Oryctolagus cuniculus: one gene and its partner. The protein of the gene in region 1 binds, or shares a complex with, the protein of each later gene. Links are inferred from orthologs where the notes say so. Each region holds a gene or a part of one and is shown in the gene's direction. Other genes may lie near its edges.

Region 1 (9,292 bases):
TAATTATTTGCTGAATTGAATGAATAAACAACTCCCTCTAGTCCCATACAGCGGGATCACCACTGCCTTGAATCCCGAGTCCCTGATGAGGTTGGCTGTGAATGTGCAATCCAGGAAGCCTTTCCTCCGGGGCTGGAAGCCTCCTCCAGGCCCTTCCTACCCAGCACCCACATCCTCACCCCTGCTCTCAACATCTCTAGGCATGGTTTTTCTGCCTTTGAAGAGGGTTTTCAGCGTAGAAGCTGCCTTTCTTGGCCTGCTCCCTCCCTGAAGGAGTTGTCTGAGACACTCCAGACAAAGAAGCTATTTGACCTTCAACTCCACCCACCGGTTACCACCCTCCTTCCCAGACTGATCTGATCTGGGAGCCCACAGACGGCTGGACATTCCTCCTCACCAGCAGGGCCCCATAGGCCCCTGGAAGGGCGCGGGGAAGGGCGGGCAGCCCCCTCCAGCCCTGGCCATCCCTGCAGTGGCAGTTTTACACCCATTGGAGCATTTGTTCTCCTCTTTGCAAGCAGCAACCCAGGAGGAGAAAGGCCCTTGAATTGAAAGCGTCTATTCTCATCGCTGGCCTCAGCGAGGTCACTCTGAGGAAGGGGTTCTGGGCCGCCACCAGGGGGACAGAAAGCTGGGGAAATACTGCTTTTCCCCCACCCCCATTCGCTTGGGAGCCAGCTGCTCACAGGTGTGGAAATAATTTCCGGTTCACTAGTTTCTCACTTTGGGCAAGAGTCTGCTGGGGCTAGACTCCTGTGTCCGTTGCAGCCGAAGCCACAGGCCTTCTCCGTGCACACCATGTGTCCTCTCTTCACACCCCGTGTCCTCCCTTCACATGTTCTGGTCACTGCATCTGATTCCTCCCGGGAGGTGTATTGTGGGCATCCATCTGCCCCCAGCGCAGCCTGGAGTTTCTCCCATGTCTGCTGACCTCTGGTGGTGACGGGGTGAACTGTACCCTCCCTTTCTAGTTAGTGGCCCGCAGGCAGGTAATGGTGCATATTTTCTCAACGATCCAAATATTAAGTGAAAATATCTCTTTTACTGCTGAATTTTACATGTTTTTTTCAGGAAGCATGGTGTATTACAAAGAACAAAGCCTGGACTTCAGAGTCAGATTTACCTAGGTTCAGATCCGACTTGACCTTGGACAGCCTACCTAAACTCACTTTTCCTAACTACCTGTGCAGGAGAAGTGAGATGATTATCAAGGAATAGACGTAGCTGCACCCTAGCACATGGTGTGTGCCCAGTAAAAAAAAAAAAAAGAAAGAAAAGAAAAAGTTAACCTTTCAATAATGATGTGATTTTTAACTCTGGGGAATTTTATATCCTTTCTAATTCCTGAGTTTGGAAGACTAGAACTCTGGGCTGTGAAGCTGCTCTCTGCCCAGAGACCTTCAGATGTTACCCCTGAATGCATGGTTCTAAGGTCTTGACATGGCTTTGGTTTTTCTAAGCCTGAGAAGTGGCCAACAGGGCCCAGCACCCTCTCAGGGTCAGCCAAAGGCAGCGGATTGAAGTCAGGCATCGCCAGGCTCTCAGCCGGGCCTCCACGGCCCCTTCCTCCCACCATGCAGAGGAAAGAGGAGGTGGCTGAAGCGAGGAGGATATGAGATTGGTTCCCGCTCCTCCCTTTCTTCCTCTGCTCTCCCCCCACCCACCCTCTCCCCCACAGCAGCCTTCTCCCGGGAGACTGGGATAGGACGGAGGGGGCGGAGTTGGGGACTGAGGGACCTGAAGCCCCACAGTGCCCTGTATGTAAAGGGAGCGCTGGCCGCGCTGGCTGGTGCTCTCCTGCAGCGGCTGCCACCCTGCGGCAGGATGCTGGGCACTCTGGGGCTTTGGGCACTGCTTCCTGCGGCTGTGCAGGGTAAGTGCCCACAGAGAGGGGCAGGGTATTTCCCATCACCCCATGCGGGGAGGGGGCACCGTGAGGAGAGGGCGACAGGGCTGGATGAGTGAGGGTGAAGGGTAGACCCATGTGTCCCGATGGCGGGGTTCAGGTTCCAGGCTCGGCTGACCCCATGTCCTCCTGTGGCTTCACTCTAGTGACCCTGGGCTATGAAAATATATTTATATATGTATGCTTTGTCTATCCTTTTGGCTACTGTTTTTGCCCCAGCATTCACTCCCGTTTTGAATCCTCTCCTTTCCCCATCCTGGGCCTCAGCACCCCCAAACAGGAGGACCTGTGTGTTCTTTGAGGCCCCTGGAGTGCGGGGAAGCACAAAGACACTGGGGGAGCTGCTAGATGCAGGACCAGGGCCCCCCAGGGTTATCCGCTGCCTCTACAGCCGCTGCTGCTTTGGGATCTGGAACCTAACCCGAGACCAGGCACAGGTGGAGATGCAAGGTGAATGGCAGGTGATAGCTAGGGTGGGGGCGGGCGGCGCTGAGGAGGAAGGGGGAAATGGAATGTGTGGAGGGAAAGAAAAGCCCACGTGAGTGGGAAGGGACGCCTTTGATAGAGAAGGGATTTATCCCAGACCCCGCTGTGTTCTCTCCCCCACTCCTTCTCTCTCTCCTCTTCCCCGAATCCCAACCCGTCAGGATGCCGAGACAGTGACGAGCCAGGCTGTGAGTCCCTTAGCTGTGACCCGAGCCCCCGAGCCCGCGCCAGCTCTGGCTCCACTCTCTTCACCTGCTCCTGTGGTGCTGACTTCTGCAATGCCAACTACAGCCATCTGCCTCCTCTGGGGGGCCCTGGGACTCCTGGCCCCCAGGGTCCCCAGGCTGCCCCAGGTAGCTACAACCCAGGGGTACTGGAACCCCGTGGGGGTTGGGGCCTAGGTTAGCATGAGAGGCAGAAACAGGGCCAGTTCTCACCCTACCTCCCTGCCCCAAGCTTTCCTCCTCCTGGCCTTGGGAAGTTGGTTGCCCTGGTGACGGGAGATAAGGGGGCTGGCGACCAAGGTGGGGGTGGGTTGAGAAGCAAGCTCGGTGAGGAGGGGAAGAAGAGCCAACCGCAGGGTTTGGGGCAGGGCTTGCAGGCTGGTTCTTGCCTTCATGTGCAGGTGAGTCCCCCTGGATGGCACTGGCGCTGCTGGGGCTGGTCCTGCTGCTGCTGCTGCTGCTGCTGGGCGGTATTGTCGTGGGTACTGCTCTGCCCCACCCCCCGCCCCAAAGTTCCAATCCCTCTCCAGGCACCTCTCACCCCGACCCCTGACCTCTCACCAAAACTCCCGCCCCACAAAAGCCCCTTCCCGGTCTCTGTGCCCGTGTACCCTTGACCCCACGGCTCTTCTCTGCCCCAGCTCTGCTCCAGCGAAAGGCCTACAGGGTGCAGAGTGGGCCAGAGCCAGAGCCAGACTCAGGCAGGGACTGCAGTGAGGAGCTGCCGGAGCTGCCCCAGCTGTGCTTCTCCCAGGTGCCCCAGGGAGGGAGGCAGGGCTGGGTTCTTCTGGGTCCTCCTGGAGGTCGTGCTGGGGAGGAAGCCTGGCCCTGGTTCTAGCTCAGAGGTCCACACCCAGCACAGGTTCCCCACCAGGTCATCCGGGAAGGAGGTCACGCGGCAGTGTGGGCTGGGCAGCTGCAAGGGGAGCTGGTGGCCATCAAGGTCTTCCCCCGGAGGGCCGTGGCCCAGTTCCGAGCTGAGAGAGCCTTGTATGAGCTGCCGGGCCTGCAGCACAACCACGTTGTCCGATTTATCGCTGCTGGCCAGGGGGGACCCGGCCCCCTGCCCTCTGGGCCCCTGCTGGTACTGGAACTGCACCCCAAGGTAAGCACCAAGGAATGTGTGCCTATGTGTTTTTTGTTTTGGTTAGTTTTTTGAAAGTCAGAATTACACACACAGAGAGGAGAGGCAGAGAGAGAGGTCTTCCCATCTGCTGCTTCACTCCCCAAATGGCTGCAACGGCTGGAGCTGGGCTGATCTGGAGCCAGGAGCTTCTTCCAGGTCTCCACATGGGTGCAGGGGCCCATGGACTTGGGCCATCCTCCACTGCTTTCTCAGGCATAGCAGAGAGCTGGATGGGAAGTGGAGCAGCCGGGACTAGAACTGGCGCCCATATAGTATGCTGGCACTGCAGGCAGCGGCTTTTCCGGCTACGCCCACAGTGCTGGCCCCGCCTGTGTGTTTATACGGGGTTAGGGGTTGCACGGAAGCTAGACCCTAGCCACACTTCATCTTTTGCTTCATATTTTCTCTAAAACGCTAAAGGTGATTTTTCTTTTTTATTACACAAATTATACATGTTAATATTTTTAGTCCATATATTAGATACAGCAAGGCAGAAATTAAAACATTCCCAACTTTAAAGAAGAAAATCATTGTTAAAGAAATACCTCCAAGGCAGCCCTTGGAACGCCTGCATCCCTTGTCAGAATGTCTGGGTTTGAGTCCAGCTCCACTTCTGATTCCAGCTTCCTGCGAATGTGCACCCTGGGAGATACTGATGACTCAAGTACTTTGGGTCCCTGTTACCCATGTAGGAGACCTGGATGGCGTTCCTGGCTCCTGTCTTCGGCCTGGGCCAACCCTGGCTGTTGTGGGTATTTGGAGGAAAGTGAATCAAGCTGATGGAAAAATCTCTCTGTGTGTTCCTCTGGCTTTCAAATAAATACAAAATAAATAATGCTGTGGCCAGCACTGAGTACAGCACCAGCATCCCATATGAATGCCAGTTGTAGTCCCGGCTGCTCCACTTCCGATCCAGCTCATTGCTGGTGCACCTGGGAAAGCGGTGGAGGATGGCGCAAGTCTTTGGACCCCTTCGCCCATGTGGGAGACCCGGGGAAGGCTCCTGGCTCCTGGCTTCAGATCCACTCAAGCTCCAGCTGTTGCGGCCGTTTGGGGAGTGAACCAGTGAATGGAAGACCTCTCTCTCTCTCTCTGTCTCTACCTCTCTCTGTAACTCTGTTTTCAAACAAATAAAACAAATCTTTAAATAAAAAAAAAAAGGCAGAAATGCCTCCAAGCATTGCCCTCCAAATTTGCTCATGTCTTCACTCAACAACAAATACTTACAAACTATAGGGCGAGCACTCGATACCAAGAAGAACAGTCACTGCCTTTACAGATTTTCTAGTTGGAAGCAGAGGTAGAAATGGATCGAGTGAAGAAAAATAAGAGAGGAATGTTGTGTGTTCTAAGTGCTAAAAGAGAGGGCCATGATCCTGTAAGAGAAAATACGAGGGGGAGATCCAGAGCAGCAAAGGCGGAAGACCAGCTCAAGGTCTGAAGCTCTTCCTGGAGTCCATGCCTTTTCCCCATCTACTTTGCACTATGCATTGCATAGGAAGTTTCAACACATTTTTTGAGGATTTATTTTATTTATTTGAAAGGCAGAGTGACACGGAGGGAGAGACAGAGAGAAAGAGGTCTTCCATCTGCTAAATCACCCCCTAAATGGCCACAGTGGCTAGGGCTGGGTGGTCAGGCCAAAGCCAGGAGCCAGGAGCTTCTGGGTCATCTGCTGTTTTCCCAGGCACATCGGCAGGGAGCTGGAGCGGAGTGGAGCAACCGGGATTCCAACTGGCGCTCTGATATGGGATGCTGGCATCGCAGGGGGCAGCTTAACCTGCTGGCTCCGAGGCGTGCTTTCAAACTTAACCTCCACAAATGCGCTATAAAGTAGGAGTTATGATCCACCCGGGCCCAGGAAAGGAGAGTGTTTGCCTGGTATCCGGGTGACCAGAGGGCTCCCCTCTTATCTGTGCTACTTCTCTCCTGTTTACCGCTCCGTCTGGGCTGCCTGTTTCTTCCCACATTTCCACTGTAGCCCCGCCTTTCCGGTTTAAGTTTCGGTGCCCACATGCTGCCCTCGATCAGCTCCTCCACCCCTGGAATCTTAAATTCTGGAAAGCCCCCTCTCTTCGACCTCATGGCTACTGGCCCAGCCCAAAAAGCATTGTTTGTTTAAGCTTCTCTCTCTGTCCCCCACCCCACCCTGCAGTGTTAGTCATTCTTATTCTATGCCCTTGACACTGAGTGCGGGTTCCTATCCTGGGGTTTATTGCACACTCTATACTTTATGGGACTGTTATCTCTCACCGGACCCTGGGCATCCCAGTGTCTGAGCAAACTGCTGGACGCAGGAAGTGTTTGCCGTTCGTGGAATGAGGAACTCTCTCCCTGCTATTGCAATTTGCTCTTCTCTCACCCTTCCCATGGGCTCTGGCTGCCTCAGGCCAGCCGGGTCACGAGCAATGCCCTTGCACAGCTCATCCAGCCTCCTCTGTTTCCGTCTTTGTCCTCTGAGTCAGGGTAGGGTGGTGGTGGACAGTGAGCGATGCGTGAGTCAGCTTGAATTCAAGGTCCACGTTCTCACTAACAGACCTCAGAGAAGTCAGTTTCACTCTCTGTAAATCTCATCCGTCACGTGGAGGCCCTAGGAGCACCCACCTAAGCCACAGGGAATGCTCGGAACACCTGACCCACACTTGCTGCTTGTCACATTAGTCTGAGGCTCACTCTCACTCCCCCTCCGCTGCCTGTGTCTTGGTCTGGATGTGTCCCGGTGTCTGCTGGGGAGATGCAAGGGGGGGTGGTGGTGGAGTGAACTGATGTCTGTTCTCTAGGATGGAGCTGTGTGTGTCCCATCCTGCCCTCTGCTTCCTCCCCCTCCACCCCAGGGCTCCCTGTGCCAGTACCTGAGCCAGCACACCAGTGACTGGGGAAGTTCCCTGAGGATGGCTCTGTCTTTAGCCCAGGGCCTGGCATTTCTCCATGAGGAGCGCTGGCAGGATGGTAGGTGAGCTGGGAGCAGGGAAGCAGCCACACTGTTAGGTTTCCGATGCTTCCTTAGCTTGGAGGAGACCCACTGGGTTACAAGAGAAAGAGATCTGTGACCTTGAACCTCGGGTTTCCTCACAGGCCAGTACAAGCCTGGTATTGCCCACCGAGATCTGAGCAGCCAGAATGTGCTCATCCGGGAAGATGGGTCATGTGCCATTGGAGACCTGGGCCTGGCCTTGGTGCTCCCTGGTTTCGCTCAGCCCCGTGCCTGGGCCCCTCCGCAGCCCCGAGGCCCAGCGGCCATCATGGAGGTGAGTGCCCTGGGTAAGGGTGAGGCCCAGGGTGCCGGATGGAGTCTTTGGGATAGAGCAGCAGGATTTACAATGTGCAGGATGTTTGCTGAGTCTGGAGCTGGGTGCGGGGGAGGTTCAGTGCAGCAGTGAGGGGCCCGGCAGAGGTGATTCCTGGCCCTCCACACCGCCTTCTTCAGGCCGGCACACAGAGGTACATGGCGCCAGAGCTCTTGGACAAGTCTCTGGACCTACAGGACTGGGGCACTGCCCTCCGGCGAGCCGACGTCTACTCCTTGGCCCTGCTCCTGTGGGAGATCCTGAGCCGCTGCCCGGATTTGAGGCCTGGTATGGATGGGGCGGGGGGGTTGGACCCCTCCCCTGGTTCCCCTTTGACCCATTTTAGGGGCCAACCACGTCCTGACCTTGTTCTCAGAAAGCTATGACCTTTTTCTCCCTGGCTTTTCTACACGGAAGGGAAACTGACCCCCCTCCCTGCCACCTTCCCCCAGACGGCAGACCACCACCCTTCCAACTGGCCTATGAAGCAGAACTGGGCAGCGCCCCCACCACCTGTGAGCTGTGGGCCCTGGCAGTAGAGGAGAGGAGGCGCCCTGACATCCCATCCTCCTGGTGCTGCTTTGCCACAGTAAGAGGTCACAGGCGGGTGGCCTAGGGATCTGGAGCAGGGGGGGCTGGGCGTGAGCTTCAAGGACGCCCCTGTCAGGGCCAAGTTCATCTGCTCCTATCTCCTCCCATATGCCCCACTTCCTAGTTCGCATTCAGCTGGAACTGGGCAAACTTGCTCTTCTACCCTAACACAGCCTGCTCCATGCACCAGAGACCCATGACATTGTCCCGCCCAGCCTTGTGCAGTCTCTCCCTCCTCACTGCCACCAGTTAGCCCTGCTCCTCAATCCTCCCCTCCAGGAAGCTCTCCCTGCCTCTGTTCCTGTCCCAAGGTGCCCCCTCCCCTGGCTGTCTGCCCCAAGGTGCTGACTCTCCTAGCGCACGGGAGCCCAGGATTCAGTGAAGTTTGCTCCTCGCTCTGGCCTGTATATCTGTTTCTGCTGCGAGGGGGACGCAGTAAAAGCCAGTTCTAGGGGCAAAGGGCCTGCAGATAACATCCTAAACAGGCTGCCCCTCTGCTACCTGGTCTGTCCGGTTAGATGACAGAAGCCAGACAGTGGTTGTAAAAGACCCTGGTTGCTGGAGGGGAAGGAGGGTGGATTTGCTATTAGCAAGTTGAGCTATCTATGCAAATTAGCTCTTTTGGAGGAAAAGTGGACCCTCTGGAAGGCTCTCAGGCAGCTGTCTCGGCGAGAGGGAGAGGAGGGAGGCTCCAGGGAGAAACAGCAGCGGCACTGAAAATGCCTGTAGCCTTGGAGCCACTCAAGCTCCCGGGGTCAAGCCTGCCTCCTGCTCGCTCCCCCAGGACCCCGGCGGGCTCAGGGAGCTGCTGGAAGACTGCTGGGACGCAGACCCGGAAGCGCGGCTGACGGCCGAGTGTGTCCAGCAGCGCCTGGTGGCCCTGGTTCATCCTCAGGAGGCCCAGCCCTGCCCAGAGGGCCGTCCACACGGCCACCCAGAAGACTGGCCCCCTGCTCCTGCCCCTGCCCCTGCTCTCCTCCCCGGCAGCCCACAGCCGGGTGCCTGCCACTTCGGTGTTCAGCAAGGCCTTTGCTCCAGGAACCCCGGAGCTGCCTGTGCCAGTTCTGACGTGTAAATAAGCAGTTTGTGTGTAATCCACCTGTAAACGTAAACATGGCACTGGTATACCTGTCTGCTCTGCCTCTCCACTGTTTTCCCACTCCCCAATCTGTTAGGCAGGAAGCTGGAAATTGAGCCTATGTGTGTGTGTGTGAGACAGGCCTGAAGACCAGCACCCATTGCAGAAGCCCCAGAAACCCAGCATCTTGCACTTCAGAGTCCTGCCCAGACCCTGCTAACCTCCCAGGTGGTCCCAGCCCTTCCCTCAAGGCAAACTCCCAGGAGAATTCTCTCTCCTCAGGACCAAAGGGGTTACCTGATCTGATAACACAGGGCAATAAAACCTTCACAGAGTCCCCTTGCCAGCAAACCTGGGGAGGAATTTGCAAATTTTCACTCAACAAACCCTTCCACCAGGGCTCCCCCTTCTTTGTCCTGGAGGAGAAAGGGAGGTGGGTAAACAGACTCCCTTAAAAACCTAGGGAGTCCAAACTGACCACGCACTCAGCCCTCTGCCTCTCTGCCTAGCCGCCCGCCTGGCCTGCCCAGGTGTATTCTCTTCATTCAACCATGTGACCTTGCTCTTCCCCTGAGCGCTCTCTGTCTGTCCCCT
Region 2 (10,431 bases), on another chromosome or scaffold:
GGGGCGTTACCGGTTCCCGCCCCCGCCCCCAAGAGCCGACGCGGGTGCGCGCGCGGAGCGCGTTGTGCGCAGGCGCGCCTCGGGCACGCGCATGCGCACACTCGAGGGCCCGTCCTCCCTCCGGAAGTGCTGCGAGCGCCCGCGCCGCGCGTGCGCACTGCGACGTCGTGGCGGCGGCTCCTGAGGCGGACGGCGGAGGCCTGCGACGCGGGGCGCGACCCACACGAAGTAGGCGCGGGGGCCATCGGGGCCCCGGGGCGCCCAGGGTGGGCTGGGGGCGCGGGAGGGAGGGGCCGGGGCGGGCGGCGGGCCCCACGGCGACCCCGGCCCTCCGGAACTCCGCGGCGGGCGTCGCGGGGGTCGCGGGGGTCTCGCGTCCGTCCGGGGCGGGCTCCGGGGTCCGGGGAGCGGCCGCGGGCCTTCGGCTGCTCGGCGGGGCGGGCCCGGGCCGCGGGGCCGCGCGCGGGGGTGCGTGCCGGCGTTCCCGCCAAAAGCCGCCGGGACCCCCGAGGCCGCCCCCGCTGGCGCCTTTGTCGTCGTGGGGGTCGGTCGCGGGCGCCCGGGGGGCTGCGGGGCGTCCCGGGTGCGGACGGCGATGCGGCTGCGTCTTAGATTTCCCTCCCGCAAGCCTGCGTGCCCGGGGCCGCGTCTTCCCCTCGGTCCGCTGTCCGACTGTCCCTTCGCGTGGTTCCCCCTCCCCCAGCCCTGAGGTCCTGGGTTCGCGTCCCGATGGAGGGGCTGTGGGGCCGCCAGGGCTCGTGCGTGGACCGCGGGCGGGCCCGGGTCGCCCTGGGGTCAGCCGGGGGCGGCTCGTGCGTGGACCGCGGGCGGGCCCGGTAGCGCCCTGGGGTCAGCCGGGCCGCCCGCGCCGTGCCCGGAAGTCGGGGTCGCAGGGGCGGGGTCTCCTCCCGCCGGTCCAGTCCCCGGAGGCCGGGCCGGGCCGGGCCGGGTCAGAGCAGGTGCGGGGCCCGGGCCGGCAGCCAGGACTCGGGCCAGTGCCCGAATGGGGCCCGAGCGGCCCCTGCCGTCCACGGGGAGGCCCAGCCCTGGCTTAGGGGCATTGGGGAGTGGACGGCGGGGGGGCGCCAGGCGGTCGTCCGCGCCCCCGTTCTCCCCGACGCCCGCGGCTGGGCCCGGCGGCTGACACGGGAGAGCCCGCGTGGGTGCGCCCGGGAGGGGCTGGGGGCTGCCTCCTGGGGTCTCCGGCCCCCGCCGCGTCCTGAGGGCCCCCCCCGGTCTGGGCTCCGCAGGCTTCTCCGGCGCTGAGGTCCGCAGGCCGGCACCATGGACTTCCAGCACCGCCCCGGCGGCAAGACCGGGAGTGGGGGCGTGGCCTCCTCCTCCGAGAGCAACCGGGACCGCCGCGAGCGCCTGCGGCAGCTGGCCCTGGAGACCATCGACATCAACAAGGTAGGGCCGCCCGCCCGCCCCCCCGCGGGGCGCCCCCGACGCCCCCGACGCGCCCGACGCCCCCGACGCCCCTGACGCCCCTGACGCCCCGCGCCGCTCTCCCCCAGGACCCCTACTTCATGAAGAACCACCTGGGCTCCTACGAGTGCAAGCTGTGCCTGACCCTGCACAACAACGAGGTACTGGCCGGCCTGGTACCCTGCCCCCGCCCCTGCCTGCCCCCGCCCCGCCCACCGGCCGGCCTGAACCCCTCGCCCCCGCCCCGCCCACCGGCCGGCCTGGCCCCCCCCCTCCACCGGCCGGCCTGATCCCCCCCCTTCCCGCCCTGTCCACTGGCCGGCCTGGTCCCCCGCTCCTGCCTGCCACCGGCCTGGCCCCGCCCCCAGCCGGCCTGATCCCCCCGCCCCCGGCCTGACCCCCGCCTGCCGCTGCCCCACCCCCCGGCCGGCTTGGTCCCCCCCTCCCGCCCTGTCCACTGTTCGGCCTGGTCCTCCCCCACCCCGCCTGCCGCTACCCCGCCCACCGGCCTGGCCCCGCCCCCGGCCTCATGTCCCGCCTCCTCCACGCAGGGCAGCTACCTCGCACACACTCAAGGGAAGAAGCATCAGACCAACTTGTGAGTGCCCCCCGCGCCCCCCGGCTGTGACACGGGGGAGGGCCCCTTGACCCGCCCCCCAGCCGCAGGGCCCCGCCCCTCACCCCCCCCGCGGGAGCCCAAGGCCGGGCAGGGGGGCTCCTGCACCTGCGCCCGTGGCCTTGGCCTGGTGTGGAGGACCACAGCGCCCGTCTGCCCCGCCCCAGGGCCCGGCGCGCAGCCAAGGAGGCCAAGGAGGCGCCCGCCCAGCCCGCGCCCGAGAAGGTCAAGGTGGAGGTGAAGAAGTTCGTGAAGATCGGACGCCCTGGCTACAAAGGTGAGGGGGCGGGGCCGCCCGACACCAGCCCTGGGCGGGGGGGGGGGGGCAGGCGGGGACAGGCGAGGCCCTGGGCAGGGAGGGGCAGGCGGGGACAGGCGAGGCCGTGGGGCTGTGGGCAGGCGGGGTCCTGGGCACGGAGGGGCAGGCGGGGCTGTGGCGTGCAGCCCTGGGCCGGCCCTCTGAGCTGGGACCTGGGCCTCACCTGCCGCCCTGGGCGGGACGTGGGGCTGCGGGGGGGCCCCTCACCGGCCCTGGTGTTGCAGTGACCAAGCAGCGGGACACGGAGATGGGCCAGCAGAGCCTGCTCTTCCAGGTGGGCGGGGCCGCGGGGTCGGGGGGGGGGCCGCGGGGGCGGGGCCGGGTGGGGGCTGCGGGGGCGGGGGGCAGTGGGGGCTGGGGGCCCCTGACACTGCCCGCCCGCAGATCGACTACCCCGAGATCGCCGAGGGCATCACCCCCCGGCACCGCTTCATGTCGGCCTACGAGCAGAGGATCGAGCCCCCGGACCGGCGCTGGCAGTACCTGCTGATGGCCGCCGAGCCCTACGAGACCATCGCCTTCAAGGTAGGGCCCCCCGCCTCCCTCGGACCCACGGCGCCCCCTCCCCGCCCCGCCCTGGGTCTCGGCACCAGCCCCGCGCCCCCTCCCCACCCCAGGACCCACGGCCGCCCCCCCCCCCCAGGTGCCCAGCAGGGAGATCGACAAGGCCGAGGGCAAGTTCTGGACCCACTGGAACAGGGAGACCAAGCAGGTGAGCCCCGCCCCCACCCGGCCCCCTCCCCCACCCGGGGCAGCCCCGCTGAGCCCACCCCCCCACAGTTCTTCCTGCAGTTCCACTTCAAGATGGAGAAGCCCCCGGCCCCGCCCAGCCTGCCTGCCGGGCCCCCGGGGGTGAAGCGGCCCCCGCCCCCGCTGATGAACGGTCTGCCCCCGCGGCCACCCCTGCCGGAGTCTCTGCCCCCACCCCCACCCGGCGGCCTGCCCCTGCCGCCCATGCCCCCCACGGGGCCCGCACCCTCGGGGCCCCCCGGGCCTCCCCAGCTGCCCCCTCCAGCCCCAGGAGTGCACCCCCCCGCCCCGGTGGTCCACCCCCCCACGTCTGGGGTCCACCCGCCAGCCCCCGGGGTCCACCCCCCGGCTCCCGTGGTGCACCCCCCGGCTCCTGTGGTGCACCCCCCGGCTTCTGGGGTGCACCCCCCTGCTCCGGGGGTCCACCCCCCAGCCCCGGGGGTCCACCCTCCAGCGCCAGGGGTCCACCCCCCAGCCCCCGGGGTCCACCCCCCAGCGCCGGGGGTCCACCCTCCCCCAGCGGCTGGAGTTCATCCTCAGGCCCCGGGGGTGCACCCGCCGGCACCCGCTGTCCACCCCCAGGCCCCAGGGGTCCACCCAGCGGCCCCCGGGATCCACCCCCAGGCCCCGGGGGTCCACCCCCAGCCCCCTGGCGTCCATCCTGCGGCTGCTGGGGTCCACCCCCAGCCGCCTGGCGTCCACCCCTCCAACCCCGGGGTGCACCCTGCTGCCCCCATGCCCCCAATGCTGAGGCCCCCGCTCCCCTCCGAAGGCCCCGGGAACATCCCTCCCCCTCCCCCCGCCAACTGAGAGGCCCCCCGCCCCCGAGCCTGGTCCTCTGTGCCCCCCTCCCCACCTTGGTTTATTAAACGTTTTCTAGGGCCTGAGTGGACGCTGTGTCTGGGGAGGGGTGCGGGGGTGGGCTGGAGCCTGAGTGGCCGCTGGGGGGGGCTGGGGCTTGAGTGGACCATTGTGTCTGGGGGACTCGGGGGAGGGCGGGGCTGGGGCCTGAGTGGCCGCTGGGGGAGGCTCAGGGAGCCCGTCTGGCCGGGCTGCCCGCCCGTGTGCAGAGGGGTTCCCGCCTGTGTCTGGGTCTGGCCGCGGGGTCCAGACGGAGGCCTCTCAAGGACACGGCCCTGCGATAGGGACAGAGGCAGCCCTGAGCGGGCGTCTCCTGCCCACCGGGGCGTGCGTGTCCCCAAGGCCACCGGGGAGACGCCCCCACGCTGCCCAGACATTCCTCCCTGGCCCATAAAAGCCGGCCTCCGCGCCCTGCAGCACCGCCATGCCGGGTCTGCCTCTCGCCCTGCTGCTGCTGCTGCTGCGGCTGCTGGCCCCCGAGACCCCCGGGGCGGGGGCGGGGGCGGCCGGCAGCGCGGGCCAGCTGCTCTTCGGCCAGGACTGGGGCTGGCCAGCGGGCGGCCCGCGGGAGCCCCTGTGCCTGGTGACCCTGGGCGGGGCGGCCCTGCGGGTGGTGGGGGCCCCGAGCGGCCACGAGACCGCCTTCCTGGAGGCCGTGCGGGGGGCTCGCTGGGGCCCCCGCGACCTCGACACCTTCGGGGTCTGCAGCCCCAGCCCCGCGCAGGCGGCCCTGCCGGCGCTGCGGCGGCTGGCGGCCCGGCTGGGGGAGCCGGGGGAGCCGGGGGCGCCGCGGCTGTGGGTCCTGCACCTGGAGGAAGGTAGGTGCCCGCCCCCGCCGTCTGGAGGAGGGTGCGCGGGGCGGGCCTGGCCGACGCGCTCAGCGCCGCCTGCCCTGTGCAGTGACCTGGGAGCCCACGCCCTCCTTGAGGTTCCAGAGGCCCCCGCCCGGAGGCGCCCACCCGCTGGAGCTGGCGCTGCTGGTGCTGTACCCCGCGCCCGGCCCCGCCGTCACCGCCAGCGGGCCCGGGCTGCCGGGGGCCCAGGTGACCAGCGGGTTGCATGCGGCGGTCCCGGGCCCCAGGGGAGGGGGCGGGGGTCTTCCGAAGGCCTGAGCGTCCGCGGCTGGCGCCCAGGGCATGGGCGGGGGGCGGGGGGGTGCCGCGGCAGGTGCCCCGCCCCAGCCTGCCGTGCCCCGCCCCCGCAGAGCCTCTGCCCGACGGCGGACACCCGCTACTCGGCGCTGGTGGTGGCCCAGCCGGCGGAGGCGTGGCGCGGCTCTGGGCTCTCGCTGACCCTGCGGCCCCGCGGAGACGGTAGGCGGGGGCGGGGGCGGGGGCGGGGCGGCCGGCGCGGCTCCGGGCCCTGAGCCGCCGGCGTCTCCGCGCAGGGCCCCCCCTGAGCACCGCCCAGCTGCAGGCGCTGCTGTTCGGCGCAGACCCCCGCAGCTTCACGCGGAAGACCCCGGCCCTGCTGCTGCTGCCGCAGTCCCCCGCGCCACTGCCTGCGCACGGCCAGCTGGACACGGTGCCCTTCCCGCCGCCCCGGTGCGCGCAGGCCCGAGCCGGGGACAGGGAGGTGGGCGTGGCGCCGCGCCGCCACTGCCCCCAATTCCGCTCTCTGCCTCTGCGTTCCAGGCCGTCCCCGGCGCCGGAGGAGCCGCCGCCCAGCGCCGACCCCTTCCTGGAGACGCTCACGCGCCTGGTGCGGGTGCTGCGGGGCACCCCGGCGCGCGCCTCCCCGCCGCGCCTGTCCCTGGACCCCGGAGCGCTGGCCGGCTTCCCGCAGGGCCCGGTCAACCTGTCGGACCCCGCGGCACTGGAGCGCCTGCTGGACGGCGAGGAGCCCCTGCTACTGCTGCTCCCGCCCTCCGCGCCCACCGCCGGGGACCCCGCCCAGCCGCAGGACCCCGCGTCCGCGCCGTGGGCCGAGGGCCTGGCGCGCCGCGTGGCCGCGGAGCTGCAGGCGGCGGCCGCCGAGCTCCGCGGCCTCCCGGGCCTGCCGCCCGCCGCCGCCCCGCTGCTGGCGCGCCTGCTCGAGCTGTGCCCCGGCGACCCCCGGGCCCCGGGCGGCGCCCTGCGCGCCCTGCTGCTGCTGAAGGCCCTGCAGGGCCTGCGCAGCGAGTGGCGCGGGCAGGACGCGCGTGGGGCGGCGCGGGCGCAGCGCAGCGCGGGGGCCGCCGCCGCCGCCGCCGGGCCGTGCGCGCTGCGTGAGCTCAGCGTGGACCTGCGGGCCGAGCGCTCCGTGCTCATCCCCGAGACCTACCAGGCCAACGACTGCCAGGGCGCGTGCGCCTGGCCGCAGTCCGACCGCAACCCGCGCTACGGCAACCACGTGGTGCTGCTGTTGAAGATGCAGGCGCGCGGCGCCGCCCTGGCGCGCGCGCCCTGCTGCGTGCCCACCGCCTACGCGGGCAAGCTGCTCATCAGCCTGTCGGAGGAGCGCATCAGCGCGCACCACGTGCCCAACATGGTGGCCACCGAGTGCGGCTGCCGGTGACCCCCGCGCCAGCGCCCCTCACCTATTTATTCGCACCCAATAAAGACAAGCGAGCGAGCACCGGCTGGGGTCTCCGTGTGTGTCTGGGAGCCCGTGGGGGTCCCCCCGCCTGTCCCCGGGGGCCCCCAGGCTGCAGGTGCTAAGGAGGCGGCGGCCGCGGCACTGGTTTTATTTTGCAGGAGTGGGCACGGCGTGCTGGGGCGCGCGCTCAGTCCCGCCCCTTGCCCGCGCGCGGCTTCTGGCGGCCCGGGAGCCGGTCCTCGCGGTCGTGGCGCCGCGGCGAAGCCCGGGCCTGCCTCTTGCTGCGCCCGGGGTCCCTGGAGTCCCGCGCCCACGGCCCACGGCCCCCTTCGCGCGTCTCCCAGCGCCGGGGAAGGGCTTCCCGGGGCTCCTCGGACTGCGGCCGCGTCCTCCGCGGCCTGGTCCTCCGCGGCTTGTCCTTGGGCCCGCGGTCCACGCGGGGCGCGTGCTTCTCGGCGGCCTCTGCGGGGTCTCCTCCGGGCTCTGCCTCCGCCTCGTCTGCAGCCCCCAGGCTCCCTCTGTCCTCCGCCTCCGCCGGGGGCTCAGGCCGTGCAGTGGCGGGGGCCAGGACGGGGGGCTGCGGCTGCCACGGGGACATTTGGGGGTCCTGAGGTCAGCGCCCACCTCCCGGGTCCCGGCCCGTCCTCCCGCGATCACTCAACGGAGGATGCTCACCAGGGGCGCCACCGGTTCCTTCCTGGGCAGGCTCGGTGGGACCCACGGCTCGGGGACGGGCGCTGGGGCTGTGGCCTCCCCAAGGACAGCATCTGGGGGACCCCGGCGGGAAAGCGAGTCAGCCAGGGCGGGGACACGCCGGCGACCCCTTCTCGGCCCCCCAGCCCAGGACAGACGTAGGGGGCCTGACTCCCAGGGTCTTCCTGCTTCCTGTTTTGGGGAGCAGGAGCACCCCAGGGCCGGAGTGGGGGCCCCCGAAGCCCACGGCCACGTAGGTCCTGGGCTCCGGTCTGGAGGAAGGGGGCGGGCGCGCGCTGCTCCAGGCCGGGGGCGGGGGTTGGGGGGGACGTAGGCCAGGAGCTGGGCGTGTGGGGGGGGCGCTGCTCCAGGCCGGGGGCGGGGGTTGGGGGGGACGTAGGCCAGGAGCTGGGGTGGGTGGCGGGCGCGCGCTGCTCCAGGCCGGGGCCGGGGGTTGGGGGGGACGTAGGCCAGGAGCTGGGCGTGTGGGGGGGCGCTGCTCCAGGCCGGAGGCGGGGGTTGGGGGGGACGTAGGCCAGGAGCTGGGCGTGGGGGGCGGGCGCGCGCGCTCACCGCGGCACAGCTGCAGCGCCGAGCCCAGGAGCGCCAGCAGAGCGGCTAGCACCAGGCACGTGTTGAGCGACGCGGCCCCCCAGGGCAGCTCCTCGCTGGGCGCCGGCGGAGGCGGCGGTGGCGGTGCGGCCTGCGGCTTCCTGCGCGCGGGGGCGCTGCGGGAGGCTGCAGGGGCAAGTGGGGGGCGCGCTCTGATCTCCACGCACAGAACCCCTCCCCCCCGCTCGGCCCTGCCCTCTCCCCGCCCCCCGCATGCCTGCTGCAAACCCACTGGTGCCAGCTCTCGGTCTGTCCCGCCCGGGTCCTGGGGCGCCCCTGGCCGCGGGCTCCTTGTCCGTCTTCTTGGGTCTGGCGTCCACGCCGCTCCCTGCCCCCGGCTCCCGAGAGTCCTGCGGGAATCGCCCGTGCTGGTGCTTCCTCGGCCCGTGCGTGCCCAGGAGCGCGCGGAGGGAGCTGACCCCAGAGAAACCCAGCCCCTGGGCGTCCCACACTCCCAGGACCCCAGCTACTCACCGGGGACCAGCTGCCGGAGTGGGCCAGCCCGGGAGACCCTGTGGCCGGAGCAAGGGGGCAGATCAGGGTGGGAGGGGGCACCGCCAGACCCCCCCGGCCCTGCTGCAGAGACCCGGCCACAGAGGACCGCACTCCGTGGCTCCCGGGAGCTCACCCCCTCTGCTGACCTAGCACCCCCGCTTTTCCGGGGGCTCCTTAGACCCCCAGGCAGGGCAGGGGGCAGGGGTTGGGGCCGCAACGTGAGCCCCCCCCCCCCCGGGCAGAGCCAGGCCTCAGGGTTTGCCGCGGGGTTGGCTCCACGCCGCCGGCCACGCACCTGCAGCCTTGTCTTCCGGGGGCCGCCCTGGGCAGGGCTCAGCCAGGACAGAGAGGTCCTCGCCGGCCGGGCAGCTGCCCAGGCCTCCGTCCGGCTCCTCCAGGGTTGTCATGGGGACAGCGGCGGGGCAGGGCCGCCGGGCAGAGTGGGCCACGGGGAATTCCTGCGAACCAACCCAGCCCTGCGTCTCGTGGGGTTGATCTCGGTCCCTCCCCGTCGGCCCCCACGCCTCCCCTCTACCAGAGACCCCCGAAGCCACACAGCAGCGAGTCGGAGACCAGCCCCGGTCAGCTCCTGTTCTCTGAGACCAGGGCTATTTTTAGACGGTGCCCACGGCCAGCAGGCCAGGCCGGAGGGTGACCCAGCCCCGCCCAGGCCTCTGCTCCCCGGGGTCTCCCTCCAACCCTCCAGCCGCGCTCTGGGCGCCGGATCCCCGCCCGTCTGACCCGGGGATCCCAGGGGCTCCGAACCTGCCTGACTCGGGCCGCGGCAGGTCAAGCCCCCCCCCCCCCGAGGCCTGGGTCCCCCCCAGGGCCGTGCCCCCCCTCCACCTCTGTTCCCAGATGCCGGATGGGGAGACAGGCGGAGCCGCAGCGGCCGGCGGAGGCCAACTGACTGGACCCAACGCTCTGTTTCCCCAGGGGGGTCCCCACCCCCCGGGGGACGACCGCCCGGCTGGGGCTCTGAGTGGGGAGGGGGCTGCAGCCTGAGGGGGGGGAGGCCCAGAGCCCTGCAGCGTCTCCTGCAGCTCCCGCCCCAGACCCCGAGAGCCCCTGGGCCGCCCCCAGCCCCTCTTACCCCACAGCCGCTGCGCGGGCCTGGTGCTCTGGGCAGACCAGGAAGGGTGGCCCTGGGACTGACAGCGACAGGTGTCGGGGACAGCTGAGTGGACCAATCAGAGAGGGCCCGAGCCGAGTGTGGGGGAGGGGCTGGCAGGAGGAAGCTGCAGAGGGTGTCCCCGCTGAGGAGGGGCCCCCCAGGCCCACCCCAGCAGGCAGCAGGGACCTGGGTTGAGCCCCGAGTGATGGAGGGGGCTGGGGTCCACTGTCCCCTGGCCGCCCTCTGGGGCAGCTGCAGCTGGGGGCAGACTCCTGGAGAGCTCCCTGGAGGGGGGGCCGCCTTCCCCACGCCTGTGGAGCCCGGGCTGTGCCTCCTGCTCACTGGAGGTGGAGCGCAGACCACTGGGTGCCCCTGCCGCCGGCTCAGCCACAGGGGCGGGACCTCACAGAGCCACGCCAACCACACCGCACCAGCCTCTCACCTGTGCTTGGGTTAAGATCTGAAAGGCAGAGAGGGAGGGAGGGGAGAGAGGGAGGGAGGGAGGGAGGGAGGGGGAGGGAGAGAGAGGGAGGGAGGGAGGGAGGAGGGGGGGGAGAGAGGGGGGAGAGAGAGGGGAGAGAGAGGGAGGGAGAGAGGGAAGGAGGGAGGGTGAGGGAGAGGGGGAGAGAGGGAGGGAGAAGGAAGGGAGGGAGAGAGGGAGAGGGAGGGAGAGAGAGAGAGGGAAGGAGGGAGGGGGAGAGAGGAGGAGGGAGGGAGGGGGAGAGAGGGAGAGAGGGAAGGAGGGAGGGGAGAGAGGGAGGGGGAGAGAGTGAGACGTAGGGAGGGAGAGAGAGGGAGAGAGGTAGAGGGAGGGAGAGAGAGAGAGGGAGAAGGAGAGAGGGAGGGGGAGAGAGAGGGAGGGAGGGAGAGAGGTAGGGAGGGGGAGAGAGAGAGAGGGAGAAGGAGAGAGGGAGGGGGGAGAGAGAGGGAGGGAGGGGGAGGGAAAGAGAGAGGGACAGAGGGAGGGAGGGAGGGGGAGAGAGAGGGAGAGGCCTTCCATCCGCTGGTTCACTCCCCAAATGGCCA

Evidence for each region.
Region 2: the proteins of AMHR2 (region 1) and AMH are in contact, whole or in part, in a crystal structure (PDB 7L0J), measured with the Homo sapiens proteins. The link is inferred for Oryctolagus cuniculus from reciprocal best matches to the Homo sapiens genes AMHR2 and AMH. Residues at the interface, in NP_065434.1 of Homo sapiens: Gly31, Val32, Arg33, Gly34, Ser35, Thr36, Thr38, Leu39, Phe62, Ile64, Glu75, Met76, Arg80, Asp81, Ser82, Glu84, Pro85, Ser95, Arg97, Ala98, Pro100, Ser101, Leu106, Thr108; in NP_000470.3 of Homo sapiens: Leu471, Arg472, Glu474, Val477, Leu478, Ile479, Pro480, Glu481, Thr482, Tyr483, Gln484, Lys534, Leu535, Ile537, Leu539, Glu542, Arg543, Ile544, Ser545, Ala546.

What each region holds. Positions count from the first base shown.
Region 1 is NC_091442.1:56,418,922-56,428,213, forward strand, and holds the start of AMHR2 (anti-Muellerian hormone type-2 receptor), read left to right. Parts: upstream 1-1,273; 5' UTR 1,274-1,824; coding exon 1,825-1,873; intron 1,874-2,173; coding exon 2,174-2,356; intron 2,357-2,553; coding exon 2,554-2,745; intron 2,746-3,017; coding exon 3,018-3,098; intron 3,099-3,257; coding exon 3,258-3,370; intron 3,371-3,490; coding exon 3,491-3,721; intron 3,722-6,576; coding exon 6,577-6,691; intron 6,692-6,817; coding exon 6,818-6,990; intron 6,991-7,169; coding exon of another isoform or gene 7,170-7,226; coding exon 7,227-7,317; intron 7,318-7,481; coding exon 7,482-7,618; intron 7,619-8,404; coding exon 8,405-8,695; 3' UTR 8,696-9,292. UniProt on the Homo sapiens protein: On ligand binding, forms a receptor complex consisting of two type II and two type I transmembrane serine/threonine kinases.
Region 2 is NC_091447.1:59,111,506-59,121,936, forward strand, and holds AMH (muellerian-inhibiting factor), read left to right. Parts: upstream 1-4,264; 5' UTR 4,265-4,398; coding exon 4,399-5,287; intron 5,288-5,361; coding exon 5,362-5,518; intron 5,519-5,608; coding exon 5,609-6,470; 3' UTR 6,471-6,534; downstream 6,535-10,431. Other genes in the region: SF3A2 (splicing factor 3A subunit 2), read left to right, coding at 1,285-1,410, 1,518-1,589, 1,980-2,026, 2,212-2,321, 2,588-2,637, 2,748-2,888, 3,007-3,075, 3,144-3,923; JSRP1 (junctional sarcoplasmic reticulum protein 1), read right to left, coding at 6,679-7,074, 7,167-7,258, 7,758-7,922, 8,029-8,146, 8,271-8,308, 8,587-8,698. UniProt on the Homo sapiens protein: Plays an important role in several reproductive functions. Induces Muellerian duct regression during male fetal sexual differentiation. Also plays a role in Leydig cell differentiation and function.